Oryzias latipes: one gene and its partners. The protein of the gene in region 6 purifies or fractionates together with the protein of the main gene of each other region. This does not show direct contact. Links are inferred from orthologs where the notes say so. Each region holds a gene or a part of one and is shown on either strand. Other genes may lie near its edges.

Region 1 (3,942 bases), about 4.2 Mb from region 6:
GTGACAAACTGTTGCTGCTTAGAGAATCATCAAACTAAAACTAAATCAACTTTTTTTATTTATAAATTTTATTTTTTAACATTATTTAAATGAAGAACAATCCAAAGTACTTTTTTTATAAATATTTAAGTATTGAATTTTTCCTTTATTGAACAATTACTAGTGAAAAACAGCAAAGTATGAAGGCTAAAGTTCCGCTTTTTAAGACTTCTTTCTAAAAATGATTTGAAAACTTCCGATTATAATGTCATTTTGGTGAGAATGTGGGGTAATGGGCTGTCATTTCTCTGTAAACCTTGACACTTTCCGCGAGGCGTTTGGACATGTCTGAGGACAGCTGGTAGCGGATCATTGGACATTTCTTCAGAGCCAGAAGAACGGATGTCAGACCCTGAGTGCAGCGACTCAACATGGAGGGTTCCCAGCTCCGCCCCTGACGAACGAACAAAGAGATGCACTTTTATCCTCATTTAGCAAACCAAATCTGTCATGTGAGGCCAAGCAGCTAAAAAAAGGAAAGCTTACTCTAGCGACTCCCTGCAGGTTGAGGGAGAACAGGTGAGGGTTCACAGCGATGAAATCTCCATAAAACTCCTGGAAAAACACAAAAAGATCTTCCTGGATCTGAACTTTAAGATTCTTTCTGAGCTGCAGAAATACAACCTAAAACACTGAGATGCAGAATTTTTATAAAAACTTTGATGTAAAAAAAAATAAGATTGTTCCAAGTGTGTTTATGATAAACAAATGAGTTAGAAGCGTATTAATGCATCCACTGATGTTGTTCCAGACTGTCATCATTTCTGGTGTTTGTTATAGAACAGAAGTTTTTTTTACGGGCAATTTGATGTAGTAACTGTGGTATTCTAATCTTTTAAAGTCCCACTCTGGTTCTCATGCATTTCAAAAGTGTTTCCTGTGGTGAAATTCGCCTCCGAGTTGTGGGCGGAGCCATCATCCACCTGTTTACATGTTGTCCTGCTAGCTTACAGCCCCTCACACCCCAGTTTAACACTGTAGCAACAACGGCGAGCGATATCGGAGCTATTCAGCCGTACCGTTTGGAGTTTCCAGCTCGGACAAGAAAAATGAAGACATACATGGAATTATTTGACCATTAGTTTGTGTATGTGGCTCGCCCAGCGTGTTTTCTAAGTAGCATTTATGATCTTTTTCTTTCTTTTGCTCCCGATTCACAACAATTAGACTAAAGAAATACTTAAAAAATGCCATTTTAATCTTAATTTTCTTAATTTGTGTCCTCCGTCATCAGAAAAATGCAACAAGAACGTGATTAAAGCACCACAAACATGATTTTCATCAGAGTAGGTCTTTAAAAGGATTTGTTGCCACTTAATAGTTACTTTTGTTACACAGTCAATAACAGCTAAGACACCAAATAAAGGGTTATTTCCAGTTATTGAAACGTACAGATGGATTGTAATGAGGGGAGAAATATGTCCAATAAATTGAAGATTTAAAACACCAAGTAGGAGCCGACGCTCACCTGGACCTCAGCCACCACCTCCTGTTCATCCGCCTCAGCCAGAACTTTGATCTCACTCTTACTGATCACGTTACTGAAGTCTGAAACACAAGAAAATAGGAGCTTAGTGAGGAGTCTTATTTCATTTTGCATACATCTAATCTTTTTTAATCATTTGTTTCTTGCGTCAAGTCATTTTTAGTTATTTTGAGTTTTTTGCTTTAATATTTTTTTTTTATTCTGGAAGCAAAAGAAAATAACTGACTGCCTGAACTCTCAACAGATAAACATTTAACACACAGATGAAGTAGATGCTGTATTTGGGCCTCCTCAGCTCCTGGATTAGATGCTGAACGTTCTCCTGCACACAGAACAGGACAGAACGTTAAGACACTTTCCACAAAAAACAACAAACTGTCTGCTGGTTTTGTACCTTAGTGGGACGGAGGAAGCAAATGGCCTTCAGGTGCTTCATGCTGTCTCTGCTCTGAGAGTCGATCCGCTCGAACAAGTAAACTTCCTTCTGCAGGATCTCGGACTGCGTGTACACCACACTGACTATACTGGTCTGACACACAACACGGGTAGATTCAGTTCAAACTGCATGTCATAGCCAAAAAATAAAAATAAAAAGAAATATGCATTTAGTGAGACGAGCAACAGAGCTAAATATGTGGCTTTTATGTGGTTCCAGTTGCTGTTAAATCTTGTTTTCATCTCCAGTATGGTCAGCTGTTGACCGTCCGGTGCCTGACTGGAGGGAATTTCAGCATGGAGAGGATGCTGCGGTCTGGATCTGGAATGCTCTTATTTACAAACATGACTCATTTGAAAAACAAAGCCATTAACGTTTACATTTATTTACTTTTGTTTAAGTTTATCATTAAAACTGTACACTAACTCCTGTGTTAGCATAAGAGAACAAATACCAAGTGAAACAAAGGAGTGACAACATCTCACAGGAAGCAGGAGGACAATAGTCACGTGAGGCAACAGTATAATATGACAGAACGACAGGAGTAAAAGTGTCATTGATTGTCCCACCGTCTCTTTGTCCATGAGCAGCACCTTCATTCCGGGCCCGCTGCTCTCGATCATTTTCGAGATGTACTGCTTCACCGCGAGCGTCACGTTCATGATGGCCTCGCTGACGCACAACAACCGTGAAAACGAATCAACCAGGAAGAAAAAAAACAGCAGCAGCCTCCAAGAGTCTGTGTCGCTCCGTTTGAGGGATTTTCTGGGGTGCTATGAGGAGGACTGAGCTGTTGTGACAACACTGAAAGTCTTTTCCTGGTTTGGTGACGTCATCACGTCGTGCGTTGTAAAGTGGGAGGGACGAACCGAGCAGTTCTTCTGGGACTTGTTTTAAAATGTTAACGATGGTGTTTTTTCCTCATTTCTTCGTTTTTCGTGGAAGAATTAATTTAACATGTGCGGGTTTTTTTTTTTACATTAAAACTTGGAATTTTGGCAACATTTAAATCATTTAAAGCTTTAAGGTTTTCAATTAAATAAACATACAATTAAATTTTCTTGTTTTCTTTCAATGGATTGCTGATGTTTTCAGATGTTTTTCACTTACACTAACTGCCTTTATGGTCTTTACTAAGTTACATCCATAAACCTTAGCTTTTCCATAATCCTTTATCCTCCTCTGATCCTGTCTCTCAGCTTCCTTTTGCCAACAAAGTGAGCCTACTTTGTAAATATCTAATTAAAGGCAGGTTTTAAAGCAATAGATGTTATAATATGGACATACATTGGCTTAAATCCTACCAAAAAAATCAATTCATATAGTATCAACTATAAATGAAGGCCAAAAACGTAAATAGCAAATTAAAGTAAAAAGTCATCTGTTGTTTGATCCATAAGTAACACACATTGATTTTTTTCTTTCTAGTAAAAATGACTAAATCTAGCATATATTTTGCCAATAGACATTACCACTGACTAAATATTAGTTGAAAACAAAAGGCTCACAATTGTTAGCATGATGCTAATACTGTCCAGATTCCAAAATAAAGTACAACAAGATAGAAACATGAAATAGATTTCTTCAAAATACTATTTTAAACGTAGCCTAAAAATGTTAACAATGAAATATTAACATTTGCATGTGTTATTAGTTTAATAACTATTATTTTTCCTAAACTGATAGGACTTAAGGTGTGGGTTTCTGCAACAACACGACAAAAACTCTTAATAAGTACACTAAATGTATAATCAAAAAATGTTTTTACTTAAAGCACAAATGTTAAAACCACAACAATGTCACATTCTTGTATTTATGGTTAGTTTGACTGATCACCATTGTCTGCTGAAGAAACCTAAATAAACCTGTATATTTATAGATTTTGCTTGCTAAATAAACATATACGTCTCTCAAATTTAAATACTACTATTTAAAACGGAGGAATAGATATCTATAAATGTCAGTATATTATGATCACATT
Region 2 (3,986 bases), on a different chromosome or scaffold from region 6:
ATGATGCATTTAACTGTAAAAAGATAGTATTGTAGCTTCTTAAAGAGGGAGTCCATCTTTGCGTCGCTCGATTGAGTTTCCCTTGAACAGTGAAAAGGCTGTTAGGTGTGTTTCAGTCGGATCAGAGGTGAATGGGTGCAGGTCGGAACTTGTTGAGCAGACCTCGTCTTGTCTGACAGCAGTTCACAGGCCTAGCTGCTTCCGTTGGTGTTTGGAGGAACCTCCCTGTTACCATATTTAGAACCTTTTCCGATCTCAGTCTGGCCAATCATCCACCGAACAGCCACCGACGCTGCAAAAACAGAAAGGATGTCCTGTTCATTTAGAAAGAATCAAGTTATTGGGGTTTAATTTCAGGTTTTTCTACTCATTGTGATCCAGGTGAACCTTTTACAGATTTTTAGGAAAAAATCTGGCAAACTTTTAAGCTTTTGAACAGTCATGCCTTTTAAAAAAGAAAAAAAAAGTAGTTATACGTTTGAATCTACATCTCTATTTTGGAAATCTCAAGTCTGGATAGTTTCCAGTTTGTAAAATAGGAAGAAAGAACTTACAGTGAAGACGGCAAATCTGCTGCTTTATTGAAATGTTGGATAAAAATGTATTGATTAAGTCGACCGATTCATGTTCTCAGAAAAAGTGAATTTAGGAAACCGACCTGCTGAGGAGACCACCACAGCGGCGATGATGGTAAGCGCCGATCCAGAGCTGATTACGTGAGTGAGCATGAGGCCCAGAGGGTAGAGAACCACACAGGACCAGAACAACCAGTTCATCAGAGTCCGCAGCTGACGGGGAGGACTCGTTTTAGGGCCAGGGAAGAGTCCCGTCTTTTCATAAGCCCCCTGCAGCTCATCCTGTACACGACACAGCGGAGTGAAATATGTATGGCTGAAAAGAGCTGCTGCCTGCGACTCACTAAAACCTTTCAGTTGGAACACTTTCCCACCTTTTCCTGGTAAAGTTTGTGGAGCCAGGCAGCGCACTCCTTCTCCTCTTCAGGAATCAACTCCAGAGGAATTCTCCTGTGAAGTTAAACAGAGGCAAAACATCAAGAACCTGGAGCTAAATTGGAGCAAAAGTCAAACAATACCAAATATTTGTCTACCGAACGTATAAATCTGCATGATACTTCTTCCCATTGAGGACTCCAAGCATGGTTGGCGTTTCGTTGTCCCTGAAGTTCAGGGTGGAGTCATAAACAGCGGAGACTGCTCAGGACAGGCAAACAGAAGGGGTTAGCAGCTTTCGGGGGAACTGGATCCAGACTGAAGGTAGAAGGGATGCTCACCAGTTCCCCTAAGGTTTTGGACCGTCATCCAGAACCCCTTTGTTCTGGGCAGAAGATGGTACTTAAGTTTAGGTAAGCCTTTACTCTCAGCCACTTGCATGCTGGCCTGGTGTTTCTCTGGTGTGAAGCGTGTTCCCTCACAGAACAGCAGAAACTAGTTTAAAGAAATATATAAGAAACTTTTTATACATATCACTTTTATTGATAAAAAAAAAAACTACAAAGGGAGGCGAAAAACCCACCCAGTAGTTTTCTGGGTAATCCCGCAGATTCTGAAGACTCTGAGCCACCAACCTCCGGTCCTCTTCCCACTTCCTCTTGCAGAAAACTATCTCCAGGAAGTACCACATCCAGCCAATCACCGGCACATATGCCAGCTCCTGTTTGGCCAAAACCTTTGAGCTCTGAAAAGTATCAAGAAAAAACAAAAACAAGAAGGGTGGGTTAAGTGGTGTTTAAGTCGGCGAAGATCATTTCCTCATCTTTGTGCCATCTCACTCCCAGAACTCCAAAGCGTTCACAGAAGGTCCAGCCACACAGAAAGTCGATCTCAAAATTATGGTTGAGAAGAACAATCGCGTTCTCCTTTCCATACAGAGGATAGCTTTTTGGGTCGGTGTAAAGTGTGCATTCCGTGCCAGACCACCACTCCAGGACTGCAACTACCTCTGCGACACACAAATGCATTTTCATGAGAATTGTCACGTTGGTTATCTTATCATCTGGAAGGACAGATTCGGACAAAAAAAAGAGGACAGAATGTACTAGGATAAAAGAGACAGGGAGTACTCACGACTGGCGATGCAGTAGCCCAGCCGGATGTTGATCCTGCGAGCCAGCTGCTTGCTGACCAACCCCACGGGTAAAGTGCACACCTGAAGCAGGTTGATGAGGAGGCCGCTCACCAGAAACACATAGCCGATGATCAGGTGGCAGATGAACAGGGATTTCAGCGTGGACAGCAGCCCCATCCTCCAGGAAAGCCTAAAAAACACTACATTTACTCTAAAAGTAAACATGATTTTCTTGTTTACATACCAACTGTTGTGGGTCATCCTGGTATTTACTTGTCTAAAAAAAAATCCCTGACAAGTCTTTCTTGTTTGAATAAATGAAAGAAGCCTTTGAGCTGGGAGTCTGTAGTTACAGAGCTCTCCAAAGACCCATCCAGGCCAGAATACAGCTGAACATCAGTAAGAACCTTCTAGTGGTGTCATCCAGTGGTGTCAAACTGGACTCAAAAGTCAAATAATTCACTTTAATTTATTTTTATAGCACGTTTATGACAGTTGTACTTGACATTCAAATTTTAAGCAAACCATTGATATAAAACATGAAATATTACCGTTTCGGATGAGCAGCTATTCTTTCTCTGACGTTTTTAGACTCTCTCTGCACAGATTAATTCTATAAAAGAAACTTCCCCGCTTCGTCCTTTAGATTTTAGGTGTGATTCATTAAACGGTAAGAAGGTTCACCTCCTAGAAGAAACTTCCCGATGAGGAGCACCACGCCCTTCTACGAAGATCGTCTATTCATCTCAGGCTGTCCGCAGAGCGCCGCTCCCAAACCAAGTTACTGATGCCATCTGCTCGTTACATTTACAACAAATACATTAGTCACTAATATAAATGAGGGAAACCATAATAAAAATTAAAAAGGATAAAATAATATAATATGATTGGGGTTTGTCTTTTGCCGTAAAACGCGACAGAGTGAGTCAGCTTTCCACAATTAGCATTCTCTGTTTTACCCATGTTCAGCTGCAGGAAATGTTCATCTTTTGCAAGCTCAATGACTTTATCGCACTTATGAAACAAGATGTGAATCACGTATAAACTATAAAGGTAGAAAACAATTTAAATCTACAGGAAGAAATGCTATTAATTCAGTGTTTAGATCTAGTATTGTATGTCCTAAAACAAAGAAGTGGCTTCAAGTTTAGAAGGTTTTATTTGAAAATGTCATTTCTAACAACAACTTTTGATCTTAATGATCTATTATGCATGTTTACAACATTGGGTAAAATGTTTTGGTTAAAATATACCTCTTGGGATTTTGCCATTTTTTAATTCAAGTAGAATAAGTTGCACTTAATGTTTTACTTGCTGCTGCTGACATGTCAGAGGTGCATTTTTTTTAAATGCAATTATTATTATTATTTTTTTTATGTTCTGTGAACTTCTAATTTAGAGGCAAAAGAATAGAAGATAAGTTGAACGTGCAGAAAGTAGATAAAAAAAGGTGAGAAGACTGAAAAAAGATGGCTGCCCTTTGGCCGTGTGACCCAATGCAAAAAAACATTCTTTAGATTTTGACTTTAGACTACTTTATTAAAAAAAATTGAGATATTGAGCTTAACTTTGGCTATTATGTCTCACTAGGCTTGTTACAGCATAATTACTTTACTTTACTTTTATTATTTTTTACTTTAAGCATTATTTTGAATGAAAATCCAGTAAAATAAAAAATAAAAATGCAAATAAAGTAGAAAAGATTTTAAAGCAAGGTTATGCTTTATTATTCTTAAAATGACTGAAAACATGTCAATACGAATGAGTTGTGCTGTTTGCTATGTTTTTCTTCAGTCTAAGTTGGATTCTTGGAACATTAGAATTGAACTAAAAACATTTTAACTACAGCTTGAAGAACTGATAGAGAACAAGAAGAGTAGAAAAAAATCTCACAATGAATA
Region 3 (3,500 bases), on a different chromosome or scaffold from region 6:
ATTGCTCAAATCGAAAACTTTTACAAGAAGAAGCTGGAGGGAGTTCAGACCACCTGCAGCCAAGAGCAGGTGAACACCAGCATCATTCTGAGCTGAAACTGAGAATTCTAGGGCTTCGGAAAATGTTTGGAATCCGAGCAACAATAGGATCCTGAACTGTCAAACTGCTGTAATGTCGCTCCATCGTGTCTTTTAGGCCACAATGCAGCAGAATGTTTCCTTCAGTACCAGAACCATAGAGGACCTCAAAGGTAACTTTGAAACCACTTTTTTCTTGTCTCATTCTTTGTTTCCTATTTTAACATACTATCCCACCTTGTTTTTTCCTGTCCTATAGTTCAACTGAATCAGTTAAATGATGACTTGGGGAAGGTCCAGAAGGAGTTGCAAAACTGCAAAGACAACGTTGAAACACTGGACAAAAAACTCACATTTGACATGTAAGCCGAAGAAATATTACGCGGAAGGCCTTTTCCATGTATTTTATTTTTACTTCATATGGTTCAGTCTGACAACATTCATACTCTCTGCAAACAGACACAATGAAAATGCTGCAGGAACTTGTTTAGTTATGTAGATAATCATTACTTGTATTCACCGAAATGGAAAGTAGATGTGTTTGGCCTCCAGAACACTATGTCTACACAATCTCCTGCTGCGTTCGCTCACACAGTAAAGCTTGCAATTGAATTTCCAGAACAAAAGACCCCTGTACTCCGCCCGCCTGTTTCATAAATGTCCCAAACGTCTGACAGACAGGATGGAGACTTGAATGGATCTTAACTTTATTTCAGGGGAAAAGTAGTTTTCTGGCACAAATTTTAGACACGAGACATTTTCCATCTGAAAGAGAAAAATACTTAAGAAAAATAAAAATAAAACACAGAGTAAAACACACGTACTACCACAGACCTGATTTCCTGTTTTCTGATTTCCTGTCTTCATAATTTAGGTCGTGCTATTTGTAAAACTCGAACGTTTTTTTCATCAAACTGTGTAGAGATGTTCATCAATGTTATTCAAGGTGTAGATTTTTATTAATTTTTAATATTTTATTTTAAAAAATGTTAATTCTATGCTTTACAAAATAAAAAGCGGTCATGATTATTTAAGTTAAGAGACTTTTTAAATTTTAAAAACATGCAGTTTTTTTGTTTAATATTTTGGGGTTCGTTTTCTCCAGAAAAACTGCCTCATTGTTTCTCTCTTTTGCTAGTAGTTGCTTAAGCCTTTACACCCTTTCACACTTCAGTCCAGGTGAACACAGGTGTGTGGGTTCATGTCTGCAGGGCTCACTGTCAGTCCCAGGTCCTTTCTCAGAAAGAGCTGTGCGACGACCGAGTGGCCAAGGCGACGCTTGAAGTCCAGAAGAGGATGGAGAAGCTCATCTCACCTGAAGCGGGCATCTCACCGGTGAGTTGGTTTACATGAGTAACATTGTAAGACTGCATCTCCTCATGACTTCAAATAGATTTTCTGTTGAGCCTCAGAATAAAGTTAGCCCAAAATGCTCGTTCAAAAATTGGGTTGAAGTCTCTTAGCTGAAAAAAGCTTTAAGCTGTGCTGCTTAGATATGGGGAATTTCTCAGAATGTGTTTTGTCATAAGATTTTAAAAAGTTGCAGAAATTAGAATCAAACATAAACTCAGATAAAATCCCTTAACTTTTTTTTTTTTTTTTAAGCATAGTTTGGTAGCAATTTTACAACACGTTTAATGCCAATTAATAAACTACCGTATTTTCCGGACTATAAGTCGCACCGGAGTATAAGTCGCACCAGCCCAAAAATGCATTATAAAGTAGAAAAAAACACAGATAAGTCGCACTGGACTATAAGTCGCATTTTAACTTTCACAACCTTATATGACACAATCATAGCAGACTGTTTATCTCATAATTTCACAGTAATTTTTTTCTCAAACTTATTTATTTATTCTTTTCATGAAGCATCATTGGCTAACTAATACTCTGTTTTCATCCTGTATTTGTAGAAACAGTTTTCACTTTTATTGCATTTCCGAATCTATGAAATCATTGGAAAATAGAATATTATGTTGTTAGCCTTCAAGATCTTACTGTAAAAAAAAGTTTGCTGATTCTCTGAGTCACTTAACATACTCTTAACACTTAACATACCTCATACATCAAATTGACCCAGGAACATCATCTCTGTTCCTCACAAATGAACATAACAGGAGGGTTAACAATGTATTTATTTCAATTTATTTCTAATATAAGTCGCTGCGGAGTATAAGTCGCACCCCTTGCCAAGCTATGAAAAAAAGGGCGACTTATAGTCCGGAAAATACGGTAATGCTTTTCTTTTGTGCATCTCAAAAGTTGGTGCATTTTTTAAAGATTTTAACTTCTGTACATTAGGTGATACCCCATCCTTCAGCAAGGATTTTTGCAGATTTTCTTACTTGTTTTGTCTTTTGAATTTAAAGGAAATACATTTTATTTTCCTTGCAATGCAGGAAAACAAAGTTAAAGAAGAACTGCAAGAAAACTCAACTGTTGTATTGGTGCCAGAAGCTGAAAGCCACACTTCTATCATCTCTCAGCCCAAACTCAATGCAACTTTGGAGCTCCAAACCAATGAAATTATCACCGACAGAGGTATACAAGGGAGAATACTTTCAATTTGTTGTATACTTGTCTTAATGCACTCAATGCAGTTTAGCGTGAAGTTTGAAATGTCACCATTTTTTTCCCCACCTTTTTGTTTTTTAGGCTCTGATGCCTCACTAAGCAGACAGCAGGACAAGAACCTCCTGACAGCGCCTTTACAGTCTGTTCCGCCTGCTGCTGGACTCAATGAAGTAGAGCTGTCAAAAAATGAAGACCTCACAAAGGACAAGGCCGAGGCAGATGAGGTTAAACCTGTAAGCCTGTCTGACAATAATAAAATGGAGGTGATGAACATTCATGACGAGGAAGCCCAGATTGAAGGTATAAAACTCCCGGGATGAAGAAAAACATCAATTAAGGTTTCTTTAAACTAATGCTCCCATAGTGTTAGGTGTCAGATTTACTTTTATCTACATTGCTGGACAGTTCCAACAAAATGCAAATTTTGCTTCTTAGAAGTCGACCCAGGGCTGGAAAACATGCTGATTAGTCAGGAGAAGGCAGAGGATCGTCCGGTTGGTCAGAGGCCTGAGGAACAAGACGAGTATGACGCAGAGGAGCAAGAAGTGGATGGAGTGGATATGGAGAAAGAAAACCAGAGTATGCTGACTGAAAACCTTGGTATGTGTTTGTTTCTCAATTTACATTTTTAAAAAAAGCAAACAAGAGCACAACTGCAGCTTAAACCCCTTACTTTGTAATACAGTTGGAAGACACTCTGAGGAAAAGGATGTATTTGTTGAAAGCGTGAACGTTTGTCTCATGCTTGTTGACACTTTTCACTTTTTGTTAGACAAAGACATGGACGAAGATCCGGCCGACTACAACGGAGACGATGAAAACGAGGGAGAGTTTGAAGCAGACAAACA
Region 4 (4,117 bases), on a different chromosome or scaffold from region 6:
AGTTTGCTCATAAGGAGTGGACCAAAATACCTGTGGACAGGTGCAGAAGGCTCATTAACAAATACAGAAACCGTTTAATTGCAGCGATTGCCTCAAAAGGTTGTGCAACAAAATATTAAGTTATGGGTACCATCATTTTTGTCCAGCCCTATTTCATTAGTTTTTTTTAATAATTCTGTTAATCAACAACTCAAAAGTAATGGCTGATTTTGATTATTTAATTTTCAATAAATTTTAATTTGTTTAGTTTTGACCGTTTCAAGTCATTTCAGTGAGCATTGAGGACTTTTGTTCTTTAACTGAGGGGTACCAACATTTTTGTCCACCACTGCAGGGTTTTGTTGCAATCTCACTTTGAAACAGTGAACAGATGCTTTGATTATTTTTTCCAGCTGAAAAACATATTTTTCCAAACCACAATTCTGTAAATATATGGGAGGAGAACATGGAGTATTTGAAGGAGAACTGCTACACAGAAGTCTAACGCCACTTGGGATGGCTCCATTAACCAATGCAAACTCTGTAGGTGAGACATGCAGATTAGAAACTCAACGTATGACATCATTACCTTGTGGATTAATCAGTTGTGTACAATAGAAATGTTCTTTTCAAATCAATTTTCAAGAATAAATATTCTTGTTTTTGTGTAGAATATCTGCGTTATTCCACATATAGTATATATTCAGAATAATTCAAACCCAACTTTATTTGTAGAGCACCTTTCATTTCGGTTGAAAACACAAAGCGCCCAAAATAAAAGCAAATAAAGTCATAAAAAGTGAAAATTAATTAAAACAGAAAACACAGGACAATCACACACAGATGGGACACCTCTCTCACCAGATTCCTCCCTCTACCCACCCAGTCCCCCCAGTAGAACCCTGGAAAAAAAGTAAGAACTGCAGGTTAAAGAGACAGTCTGGCTTGGCACTGCTGTGCAGAAACGAGATCATGGGGATCCATATGTTCCAAGGACCAGGCCGACCACGCGCCCGCCCAACACAGAGCAGCCTAGGGCCCATCACTCTACAGCTATTAGACCGCAGAACAGGACCCCAGCCGGCTCAATGAGTGAGCGCCGCAGCAACAGCACCCCCTACAGGCGGAGCCGGTAGTTCCTCCTGAAAGATGGATCCACAAGAGGAAACACTGGAGTAATAAAAACGTCAGCACATAAATTATAATAAAATAACAATATTAAAAATAAAGAACAATATTGGGTTAATAATTTCTGAGAGTAGTCCCTCCCACACACACGTCTGTGATCAAATTTTTTGACAAGGGTCGAAAGTGAGTTTTCTCCGAGGACGCCGTGAACGCAGCAGTGACGCTGAGCTGCAGACATGGCGCTGTCCTGTTTGAGGATGTGCCGCCTCCTGTCACCGGTTCGACTGTGTTGTGTCGGTACCAGCAGTTCGACACCTAGCTTTTATCTCTCCAGTCTATCGCATCAGTCCAGGTAATGGTCGTAAAGAACACAATTGTCAACATTTTTACGATTTAGCTTAACTGAATTCGTTTAGCATGTGCTAAGCTAGCTGTTTTATTTTGAAAACGTGTGACCGCACATAACGACCTTTCCAAAACAAAATTAACCTTTTTTGTATTTGTTATAATTAAACTTCAACTATCAGTGGACTCCTCGGCACAGAGACATTACAGTGTTTTACTTGTCATTTGAGTATTTCGTGGTGTTTTATATGAAAGTGTTCCTCTTTCTGTCAGGTCTCCTCTGTGTTACACAGTGTGTAGACACTACACCTCATCCAAAGTTAGACGGGGTCTTGGACGTTTTATTTCTTCCAAGCTCCAGACAGCCAACATAAAATATGAGAGTTTCCTCAAAAGGAGGTTTCCCAGATTCTTTCTGCTGTATCACACTTTCATGGAAGGTAAGTTCCCTCTAGTCACCTCTGAAGTCATTTCTATAGATTTATGATCACATTTGACGACAGAAGACGTCCAACTTTAGATTAGTTTTCCTTTGTTTTATCATTGTTTTCTTAATATATATCTTGTTTTATTATTTATTGAAGGCACATTCTTGTTCAAGAACACAATGTTCAAACTCGTGGTTTCATATAGGGAGCTGCTCACTGGCTTGTAACTACCTGAGGCAGCTTCATTGAAGCAATTAGAGTTTCAGGTCTTGCTCAATGGCAAGGCAGTGGGGGAGACTTCTGAGCATTTGTCCCACATAGGAACTTAAACCACTTCAGTGAAAATCGTGCTTTTGGTGTTTCAAACATGTTCTTGTGGCAGTTCTATCTCAGACATTTAAGCTCAAAATCGCATTTCTGAGTGTTTCTTAATTCAAATCGATGTGAATCAGGAGCAGATGTAAAAATGCCGTTTGGAAAAGCAATGATGTTGAAGTTACAGTCGGCAGGCCACAAGCTTCCTGCTCCGCTCCATTCTGATGCATCCACTTGCAGACAAATAGATCGATGGACGTCTTTGTTTTCCCCGTCTGAGCTGACATTTGGCTCCAAACTGTACGACTATATAGCTCCGGTATTGCTCACCATTTTTATTGCACTGCTAATGTTAGGTTGGGGTCGTAAGGGGGTGTAAGCTAGCAGGATAGAGTATAAACAATGGGACAGAGGGATATCAGCAGAGGCTTACTTTTGTGCCAACAATCCCTCCCACAGTCCACCCACAAAGTTTCTGATGAACTACTGCCGCTCTGCGGAAACTGTCCTAGAAAACGACTTGTCTCCTCTTCAACAAGACCACCAGGAACACTTTTATAATAGATCAAAAGATGATTGAACTTTAAACTATCAACCTCTAGGAAGCAAGACCACGAAAGAACACACATGAAGGGCATTTCCCCCCAGAACTATGTTTGAAAAAAATCTGTGGGCTCGCTTTTACTTCCTAGAAATGTGTCCTAAATTGGCACTTGGTTCAAATCCCAGCTGCGACCTTTTTTATGAAGGTTGCATGTTCTCTCCATACATGCCTGGGTTCTCTTTGGGCACTCCAGCTTCCTACCACAGTCCAAAAACATGTTTTATAGGTTAATTGGTGACTTTGTATGAATGTGAGTGTGTGTGATTGTAGTTGTGTTAAGTTTTGTTGCATTTGTTTTTAGCAGCTTGCTTATAAGGTTTGCAAAAAATTTTGTGTTTATTAAAAATTTTTTATTGCTATCCTCCATTAGGCTTCAAAATGTTGTTCCATGATGCCAAAGAGGTGAAGAGGATAAAAATGAAAATGCTTTATGAAGGTGTAAAGCATCAGGACTTGCCCTACAGGGAGATGGAGAAACTAAGACAGGTGAGTCCTTTTTTCCTAAAACACTTTCAAGGAGTTCATCAGAAATGTGCCTGTATTATTAGATTGGGGCCGTGAGGGGCTGAAAGCTAGTGGGGGGAACATAAAAACAGATGGATGACGGGAAAAGGAGGCGGAGTGTCAACAGTCCCACTTACAATTTAGAGGACAATTTCTAATAAACTCCTGCCGCTCTGCAGAAACTATGTCCTAGAAAACGTTTTTTGATCCGGGCTAAAAACGAGAATCATAATTAAACGACCACTGGGAACGCTTTTACCATATCAAGTTCCTCGCTTATAGAAAACTCAATCCAGGCATAATTATCATCAACATCTTTCCAGTCATTGGCTGAATCTTTTATTTACAATTTGTGTTCATGTAAAATAGAAACAGAAACTGTCACCTTGAAACAAACGTACCAACCACTTAAATAAGCCATGTTGGCCAGCCTGCGCTCACAAAGACAAATTAAATCCTGTTCTGGAGAGTCATAGATTTATGTCAGGACTGAATCTAGCACATTTTCATCCAAACAAATGCCGGACGTCTTTCAAAAATGAGCCTGTTCTCTGTGACGATCAGCCGATGAGAATAAATTGTTGGACATGACAAAACTTGTAGACCGTCTCCTGGCGTCACCTGACAGATTTGAGTGGAAAGTTTCTACACCAAAGGCTTTGATGTAGAAACACAACAACTTAGCTAACTTTAATTCACCTTTCCTCTGAACTCAAATGTGTTAGTGTAAATCACGCAACATCACTTCTGGGATATTTATTTTTTAAAGCTGAGGGTTTTAAAAGCTTAGGCTGTTAGATTTGCGCTTGGAGAG
Region 5 (4,099 bases), on a different chromosome or scaffold from region 6:
ATTTTCAGGAAGTTTCTGCACCTGGGTGATGGCTGACAAAAAGTAACCCAGAAAGTCACTTTCCATAATACCACAGCCTGCTGCGAGGATTTATGCATCTGCAGTTCGAATCTAAAATAAATGTTTAACAGAAAAGATAGAGGGGCTGGTGTTACCCCATTTAAGCGAATCTTGTCTAATCTGACGGAGCAAACTGCCCGACTCTATAAAACTACTTTTAATTTATCAATTACACAGCTTCGATTTTCCATTTTAACCTTTATTTCCTTCGCAACTTGCAGTGATATGAGTAATAAAAGTTCATTTTGCACAGATTAGTGTCAACACTGAGGTTTCTTCTCACCTGAAACCTCCATGAGGTAGACCCTGGCAGCATTGGCTGCTCCGCCACACAGGAAAACTCCCGTCAGCATGATGCAAAGGGATGTGAGGGACGCTGTCATCGTTTCTATGTCGGTTCCAGTGCTGTAAATGGTGTCTATCACTTTGCCAAGAAAGAATGGAGCCGACATGGTCACTGTGCTGGAGACGGTCAGGAAGCCAACAGCAGCTAGGTCAAATCGAATGCAAAGCGAGATCAGAATCACTAAAAAGATACAAGCTCTTTATCAATCTGGATGCGGAGATGGCTTTGGTCATTTAAAAGTGTAATTTACACAATAATAGGCAATAAAAAAGTAAGATACGTTTTAAAAAAAGTTAAATCAGCATTGCAGGGTATTAAAATGGTAGGAATCAGAAACCTAAAAACAGTTTCCTTCTGCTTTTTGAAAAGCAGCAATTCTTATATGTCTGAAACTGAAAAGTGTGTTTATAGCAAACATAAAGTGAAATATCATCAAGGGCTATGCAGGTGATAAACATGGTGATATTTTCTTCTTTAAAGCTTTTGTATATTTAAATCAAGCACAGAAATAAATATTCTGCTTGGCAAACAGAATTTAACTAAAATGTTTACGTGAGAGGTGTAACAATGTATTTTAACTATTCAATTCATTTCATAATTTGTGATTGCTGTTACGATTCATAGTCGATATTGATTCCTTTTGAATGATCCGATTCATTAAGCTAAAATCAATCCAGGACGTCTTTAGCCAAAAATCTGAGCAGTGTGACTCAGAAATCCCTGGTACTGAAAGATAGTCTAGTGTAAACTACATATGTGTACAAACAAACAACTAAACAAGGGTGAATGGCAAATCCATTCACTGTTTAGTTTCCTGAAGTTCAGCCCTCTGTTGTTTTTCCACATCACAATAATCCATATTGGAACATTAATAGAACATTCTAGCACACTGTGTGGTCGCATGTCTTTTCTAAATTCAGTGTTTCCACACATTAGACTGTAAAGATGAACTGATCATGTTTTGCTGTCATCACGTGTGTTGTCTGCTGTGATGGTCGTTTTTACGTTATGGTAAAATAAACCTACCACGTCTCAATCCAGATGGTATTTTTCATTTATAATCAATATTATTACTTCATTTGGACACAATTTCAAATGTTATAGCTCGATTGGATTAACAACTTTCCTCAGACAGATAGATCTGATTGGGTTGTAGGAACAGACTGATTGATTTACCCCTTACAGCCCTATAGATGAAACAGATCAGTGTGACTGTCACACTCTAAAGAGAAAGCAGTGATGCCATCCATGATGACTGGCGGCAAAAAGGATGCAATTGCAATCATAAAGAAAAGAAAAGTACTTTAAAGAAGAATCTGTAATTATGGCCGAAAATAACATCTTGGATGTGCTTTTTATGATCTGCAGCTGGGGGGTCAGAACAGCCCACCTGCCACTCTCCATCTCTCCGGATGAGCGAGTCTTAGGATCCGTTTGACATCCTCCAGAGGGACGCTGGTGGGGGGCTGCCGGGCTTCCTCTGCGTCCGCCCGGTTCTTCTCCACCTCCGCGGATCCCGCCGAGGAGGAGCTGGCGAAGGCAACAGGTGTGTGACGGACTGCTGCCCTTCCCCGGCCTGCCGGGGTGAAGAAGAGGAGCGAGGGACCCGACAGCGGACGGAGGCGCGGGACAGAGGTGAGGGGTCTGCCCCAGGGAGAGAAGACAGGTGCGGGATGGACGGAGGACTTTCTCCGGGGAGCGGCGGGAAGCCTCGGACCATAATCCATCCAAAACCTGGGCTGGGTCGGCTTGAATTTACACAACTGCATCCTGCGCGTGCAGATCGGCACGCGGAGCAAAAGTCGCATGTTTAGAGTTGATTAAATTAAAATAAATAATGATAAAAAAAACTAACAATAAATGATTATATTCCCATCCAGACTCAAAGACCACAAATCCAGTTTGTTGAATTGAAATATCCTCCTAAAGAGACGTGTAGGTCAACTAAACGCATCCCGATGCGTTCAACTGTGAGGTTTGTTGTCGATCATGTCCAGATTTCAGGCGGTTATTGTGCACTTTATCAGTGCGTGACAGCCGCCTTCAACCCCAGTTTATCTGTTATCGGCGAGCAGCTCCCAAACCCCCGCCTGTCCCCGTCAGCTGTCACCCGGAGCAGGGCAGAGGCTCGGCCGGCAGCGAGGGTCACTAAGGCTCAGGCCCACCCCGGAAAACTAACCGAAAAACATCTAGAAGGAGAGGAGAAGACAGGAAGAGAAAAGGTGACCCTGTTTCGGTGTGAGTGAACGGGAGATACGGTCCCTCCACCTCGACGAGGAATTCAACGGCTGATGACATAAGGAAAGATCACCAGGCAAAACCAATCAATCACAGAGTGATCTAAAGTTTTCTGTTTTCCCCAAGTTACCTGATGTAAAATGAATTTTATGCATCATTCTTGTCAACTATAATATAGAATACAAAAAAAACATTATCGTACTATCGGCACCTATAACAACAATAATAATAATAATAATTTATTATTATTATTATTATTATGATAATTATATAACAGCTGATCATCACTGATAATGATAAATAGTTCAAAATTTTGTAACAAAAGAATTGTTGTTATTGTCATATAATTTTAATTGCGTCATATTTGGAGGGAAAATGTATCAGTGGGATGAGCAGCAGAACTATTAATGTGGGTGAAAAATTAGCAGACCCTTCTCCACCAACTCCTGACAGCAGTTTCTGTCATTGGCTTTAACTTGGTGTTTAGTAGACAAGATGATGAAATTTCAAGAATGAAGACCTCAATTTAAGAATTTATTCATCTAACAAAAGGGAGCAATGTGGAAGAAGTATGCAGAGGTGTCCTCACACCAACTTGGCACATCCTCGTGCCAGTCACCAGGATCAGACACTGCTGTCAGTTGGATCCCATTTTTCAACCCATTTTTTTACACTTAACACGAGTGTAAAATGAAGTTGTAAATACTTCTGGAAGGTCGCTTCATCCTTCCCACTCCCAAATTCTGTTAGTTAGTTAATGGTATCTGATAAATCATTCACTATGGGGCAAGCACTAACAACATCCCAATTGCATGTCCCTTATATTTGTGGCATCATTTGTAAGGGAAATAATATGTTTATTAACAGTTTGTTGTAACCAAAATAAATACTTGGCAGTATGGCATATTTTGATAATATAAAAAAGTAAAAAATAGAATAGACATGATCAGAAATACTGACAAAGTAGAAAAAAAAAAAGTAATATCGATGGTTTCGCCTTTTGATTGCTTTTGACTGGCAGGCGGGGTGAAAGTTCATACGGCTGAAAACAGGAGACACGTGCGGAGCAGGAGCACATTTGTGAGTCATATTTATTATAAAAACATTTACTGTAACTATAATAGATCATTTATTTTGTGGCCTGATGAGGTGTGTTTTCAGAAAAACCAAAAAGCAGGTCGTTGGTTTGTTAGAAAGCAACAAAGTAGCTTTCTGTCTGTTAGCGTAAAAACGTGTAGCTCGGTTACGGGTAAGAGACAAACACAAAGGCAAACTTTGAAAGATTTGGACACTGGTTTGTCCACCACTTTTAAACACATTATTGTTTCTAAATGGAATCTTTTGAGTGAAATCATGTATTCTGTGAGTTTTATTTGTAGCTCAACATTTAAGTTACACCTGATGGTTTGTATGCTGAATTCAGAACGCTTGCACAGCCTGTTCTGTCTTAAAGTT
Region 6 (4,126 bases):
CAGGCCTTTTCACAATAAAAGCCTGGCTATTCCTCCTTTACTTTGAAAGTCTGCTGGTTTCAGATGTGCAGCAGAGCTGTTGGCTGCAGGTCACCTTTTTCAGGGCAGACAGGTATGGAGGAGCACGAGCCACGTCTCAGCCAATCACAGGCCAGAGTGTGGAGACCGCAGAGGTTCCTCACAGTGATATAAGTGAAGCTGAGATAAATGCCCGCACTGCATTCCTCTCCACCTTCATCACTGATGAGCTCCAGCATGTTCTCCTTAAGCAGGCTGCTCGTGACGGTTCTGTGTTCGGGCCCGGTTCTGCTCGGTTCCGTCGGGGCCACCCCCGCGGTGGAGGGCGCGTACGAGGCCGTGGTCCGCGTGCTGGCCCCGGGACAGCAGCATCTGACGGAGCGCTCCGTCCGCGCGCTCTTTAAGGCGCTGCAGGCGCGTGTGCAGTGCGGCGGAGTGCCGTGTGGAAAGGTAGGTTTTATTGATGCCCGCGAGCCCAGGTGCAGCCAGGTGAGGCCAAGCACGGCCAGAGTCAGGCTGCCGAACCGAGCTGTTATCGGAACCGAACAAAAGAGGTTTAGGACTTAGTGGTGTTTGGTTCTTCCTGCAGTCAGAGAACTTAGATCGTTCTGGTTCATGAAGGTCCTTTAGAAAAGAATCCAAACTCTTTTAGTTCTGATGATCCAGAGCCGTCAGTCAGTCAGTCAGTCAGTCAGTCCAGCTGCTCTTGTAGTTTTTAAATGTTTATCTTTACTAAAACTGTCAGCCAGTTGAACTCAGAAAGTTGACAGATTTGAACCAAAAGAGGTTCTGAACGTTTTTCCTTCTGTTATCAGGAGTCACAGTTAACAGAGTCTTTTTTCTGAGGACTGGATGTGAATCTTTTCATTTTTCCTGAAATAATATAAACCAAATCCATGGCTGGAATGATGGATTATGAATTATGAAATGAGATGTTTTATTAGGCTCTGGTCTTTTCTGCCCCTCCACTCTACAAAAAAGCTGGAAATAAAAAAAACTCCTTCCTCTGAATATGTTTAAATCCAGGCTGATGGAGGACAAAGTCACCCGTTTTACATGAGCTCTCATTTTGATTTATTTAAGTTTGAAATGTTTACATTTTTACTGTAAATGTAACGTATTGTTTTAGCCAGGACTCGCGTGAAAAAGAGATTCTTCATCTCAGTGGGACATTTCCTCTAAAGAAAGGTTAAATAAAATACAAATAAAAAAGATCTCATTTCAGCGTTGTCATGGTGACCACACAGGCATCATGGGGCTTCGTCTAGAAAACTCTGCAGACGTCATCAGAAAAGCCATTTGGTTTGTGGGACGCGGTTATGCAACCCTCATCTTATCAGTAGGAGCAAAGTTCCTGAGCTTCTTCAGAACTGCAGAACCGACAAAAAGCTGCTGCAGGGCAGCAAAGGAAGAAAGGAGTGAGAATGACTTCAGCTGGACAGTGAAGGAATGCGATGAAAGAATTCCTCTACGGGTCGCGGCGTGCTGCTCGGGTCAGACGGGCCGTCGCTCCAAAGCCTCCATGAAATCCTCTCAGTTCTTCCTTCAGAGGACAGAAGAACCAAAACCTTCCAGGAGTTTCCTCCACGGAACGCTTCAGAGCAATAAAACAAACCCCAGAGAGCCGTTCCTCAACAGAAATGAAACAATAAAGGAAAGTTTCTGTTCTAAAACCAGGAAAATGTCGGAATTCCTTGGAAGAGATCAAAGAAATCAGTTGGAATGATTTAGTGAAACATTTTGTTCTACATTTGTAGATAATCTCCAGGTCAGCAGAGATGTTTTCAGGGTTTTATCGTTGTGTTTTCTTTCCCTCCGTTCTTTTCTTATCTGCCTTTATGGTGAAATCTTTCTGTCCAGTTAAATGAACAGAAACGTTTTTCATATGTGTTCAGACCTCCTCACTCTGGACGTTTCTTGACGTTCTGTCTGTGGCTGTTGTTCAGTGTGATCTGGACGGCGCCGTTCACCAGCTCGTCGGCAACAGCTCCGCCCACACGCTGGAGGAAGGCGGGAAGAGCGGCAGAACCTTCACGGTCGGCGCGTCTCAGTTTCCCGCTCTGGCAGCCGGCAGCGTCCTCTTCCTGTCCTCTCCTGACCTGGTCTGCGCCGCGGCGAAGGACGGGAGGTGGGCGGAGGAGACCGAGCGTTTTCTGCACACGTACACGCTGGGCGACCACGGTGACATCAGCATTTATGCTCTGGAGGATCTGCTGCAGGAGCTGCAGAGTCACTATGAAGCTGCTGAGAATCAGGTAGAACACAGAGATGATGCAAACGCTGATTCCAGCAGCTCAGGTTCTGTTCTGAAGGTCCGATCATTCCTGAGGACAGAGGACGCGGGCGGAGAAACCGTCACACTAAGTGGAAGCTGCATTCACCTGTTTGATCCTTCTGTGTCACCATGGTAACCAGAGCTGTGCAACAGCCAGCAGCATCATGCAGGAAGCTGAGGCGTCGCCGGAAGTGGGCGTGGTCCTGGGCCGCGTGCTGACCCACGCTCTGCTAGGACACTGCTTCAGCGCTCATCCTCTGCCTGAGGAGAGCTTCTTCCTGGACTTCATCATGGATCACGTGGGCTCAGAGAACTTTACCGTTGAAGGTAAGGATAGTTGAAACCGGTCACTTATTACATCATCACACGCGTGTCCTTCTGAACATGCTTCCCTCCTGCAGCTCTGGAGAATCTCATGATGGTGCTGAACATTGGATCAGGAGAAGATCATGAGCATGCATTCATGCTTGATGACCATGAGAGCCACCATCATCATCATCATGAACAGAAAGGTCGGAGGAAGAGGAGCAGTGAAAAGCATGAAGCCAACGCCACCTGGGAGCATGTAGGTACCTGGACCAAACACGGGACTGAAGGCTGCCGGACTCTGTCTGAAGATCTTTGGGTTCCGTTTGAGTTCATCCATACTTTCTCTTTTCCCGTCTCAGCGCTGTTTCTCTGCTGGGGAACTGCTTCAGATCCACGGTCTGACTGGCTCCGCCCACTCCGGAATGGGTCGGTCTGAGGTGGTCCGCCTCAGTCCTGCTTTCATCCAGCAGATCCTCAGTGGAGCGTGTGCAGAGGCGACCGAACCGGAAACACAAGACGGACTCACAGAGGCTGAGAGTGAGTCTGTTACCATGACGACAGAGGGGGTTCCACTTACCGATGAGTCATTGGTTCTGTAAGAACCACAAGATTTGGGGAACTTGGATGTTCTTTTTTACCAAATGTTTCTGTCAAAGACCCTCAGAACGGTTTAGGGTTGGTTGTTGGTTTGATTCCCTGAATCAATGAACCATGATTCCCTTATGGCTATAAACTTCGGATGAACTCATTGAATCCTTGAATCCTTGAATCCATTAATCCTTGACTCCATGAATCCATGACTCTTTAAATCCACGACTCCATGAATCCATGAATCCTTAAATCCTTGAATCCTTAAATCCATCACTCCATGAATCCATGACTCGTTGAATCCATGAACCCTTCAGCCTTCAGAACCCTAATGTTACTTTTTTTCTGGGTTTTTCTTTAAAACACTTTGGAACTCTAACATCCTGCTGGTCTCTTACAAGCCACAAATCAAAAGCTTTTATTATTCTTTAGAAAATCAAAGTAAAAAATTCCTGTCAATATAACAGTACTCTCAGATAACTTTTAGGGATCAATAAAACGATTGAAAAGACTTAAAGCAAACATCCCAATATTTCAAGTTCTCTTGCTTTAGTTTAATAAACGGAGGTGAAGCAGAAGATTGTGAGATAGATGCTACATAATTCTCCATTCAGTGACATTTCTTTAGTCCAGTCTAACAGAGACTTGATGATCGTATTGATTATTTACATGTTTGTAATAAATCCAATCTCATCTACTGACACTCAACTCTTAAAGCTACCAGACAAACACATTCAGGCTGGTTTTTTACCTTTATTTAGTTGTTGTGTCCTCCACCATGAACAGGGTCAGTGTGCACGTGTCAGATGAGGTTTTCCTTTGCGTCTAGAGAGTTTGATTTACCCATCATGCTTTGCCCTTTCCTTCTTGCAGGATACCTCTATGCCACTGTGGCCAACGTGGTGATAACGCTGGTGTCCATGCTCGGCATCGTTC

Evidence for each region.
Region 1: the proteins of slc39a4 (region 6) and vps45 purify together in Homo sapiens (affinity purification with mass spectrometry; 3 studies listed by BioGRID and IntAct, counting the BioPlex papers as one, with this or other methods). This does not show direct contact. The link is inferred for Oryzias latipes from reciprocal best matches to the Homo sapiens genes SLC39A4 and VPS45.
Region 2: the proteins of slc39a4 (region 6) and agpat4 purify together in Homo sapiens (affinity purification with mass spectrometry; 3 studies listed by BioGRID and IntAct, with this or other methods). This does not show direct contact. The link is inferred for Oryzias latipes from reciprocal best matches to the Homo sapiens genes SLC39A4 and AGPAT4.
Region 3: the proteins of slc39a4 (region 6) and golm1 purify together in Homo sapiens (affinity purification with mass spectrometry; 3 studies listed by BioGRID and IntAct, counting the BioPlex papers as one, with this or other methods). This does not show direct contact. The link is inferred for Oryzias latipes from reciprocal best matches to the Homo sapiens genes SLC39A4 and GOLM1.
Region 4: the proteins of slc39a4 (region 6) and letmd1 purify together in Homo sapiens (affinity purification with mass spectrometry; 3 studies listed by BioGRID and IntAct, counting the BioPlex papers as one, with this or other methods). This does not show direct contact. The link is inferred for Oryzias latipes from reciprocal best matches to the Homo sapiens genes SLC39A4 and LETMD1.
Region 5: the proteins of slc39a4 (region 6) and abcb10 purify together in Homo sapiens (affinity purification with mass spectrometry; 3 studies listed by BioGRID and IntAct, counting the BioPlex papers as one, with this or other methods). This does not show direct contact. The link is inferred for Oryzias latipes from reciprocal best matches to the Homo sapiens genes SLC39A4 and ABCB10.

What each region holds. Positions count from the first base shown.
Region 1 is NC_019869.2:4,532,289-4,536,230, forward strand, and holds the start of vps45 (vacuolar protein sorting-associated protein 45), read right to left. Parts: upstream 2,801-3,942; 5' UTR 2,624-2,800; coding exon 2,531-2,623; intron 2,055-2,530; coding exon 1,920-2,054; intron 1,848-1,919; coding exon 1,787-1,847; intron 1,588-1,786; coding exon 1,508-1,587; intron 595-1,507; coding exon 526-594; intron 434-525; coding exon 296-433; intron 1-295. UniProt on the Homo sapiens protein: May play a role in vesicle-mediated protein trafficking from the Golgi stack through the trans-Golgi network.
Region 2 is NC_019873.2:25,316,689-25,320,674, forward strand, and holds the start of agpat4 (1-acyl-sn-glycerol-3-phosphate acyltransferase delta), read right to left. Parts: upstream 2,801-3,986; 5' UTR 2,637-2,800; intron 2,276-2,636; 5' UTR 2,263-2,275; coding exon 2,085-2,262; intron 1,960-2,084; coding exon 1,790-1,959; intron 1,696-1,789; coding exon 1,534-1,695; intron 1,446-1,533; coding exon 1,292-1,445; intron 1,212-1,291; coding exon 1,109-1,211; intron 1,026-1,108; coding exon 950-1,025; intron 858-949; coding exon 659-857; intron 293-658; coding exon 192-292; 3' UTR 163-191; exon of another isoform or gene 82-162; 3' UTR 1-81. UniProt on the Homo sapiens protein: Converts 1-acyl-sn-glycerol-3-phosphate (lysophosphatidic acid or LPA) into 1,2-diacyl-sn-glycerol-3-phosphate (phosphatidic acid or PA) by incorporating an acyl moiety at the sn-2 position of the glycerol backbone.
Region 3 is NC_019867.2:11,007,772-11,011,271, reverse strand, and holds part of golm1 (Golgi membrane protein 1), read left to right. Parts: coding exon 1-69; intron 70-196; coding exon 197-251; intron 252-337; coding exon 338-440; intron 441-1,289; coding exon 1,290-1,413; intron 1,414-2,477; coding exon 2,478-2,619; intron 2,620-2,733; coding exon 2,734-2,952; intron 2,953-3,087; coding exon 3,088-3,252; intron 3,253-3,424; coding exon 3,425-3,500.
Region 4 is NC_019865.2:22,147,943-22,152,059, reverse strand, and holds the start of letmd1 (LETM1 domain-containing protein 1), read left to right. Parts: upstream 1-1,317; 5' UTR 1,318-1,343; coding exon 1,344-1,459; intron 1,460-1,725; coding exon 1,726-1,892; intron 1,893-3,169; coding exon 3,170-3,285; intron 3,286-4,117. UniProt on the Homo sapiens protein: Plays an essential role for mitochondrial structure and function, as well as thermogenesis of brown adipocytes.
Region 5 is NC_019861.2:24,520,858-24,524,956, forward strand, and holds the start of abcb10 (ATP-binding cassette sub-family B member 10, mitochondrial), read right to left. Parts: upstream 2,801-4,099; 5' UTR 2,215-2,800; coding exon 1,797-2,214; intron 551-1,796; coding exon 344-550; intron 1-343.
Region 6 is NC_019869.2:286,592-290,717, forward strand, and holds the start of slc39a4 (zinc transporter ZIP4), read left to right. Parts: upstream 1-1,326; 5' UTR 1,327-1,786; intron 1,787-1,892; exon of another isoform or gene 1,893-1,964; 5' UTR 1,965-2,273; intron 2,274-2,433; 5' UTR 2,434-2,457; coding exon 2,458-2,620; intron 2,621-2,694; coding exon 2,695-2,858; intron 2,859-2,961; coding exon 2,962-3,139; intron 3,140-4,063; coding exon 4,064-4,126. UniProt on the Homo sapiens protein: Selective transporter that mediates the uptake of Zn(2+). Plays an essential role for dietary zinc uptake from small intestine. The Zn(2+) uniporter activity is regulated by zinc availability.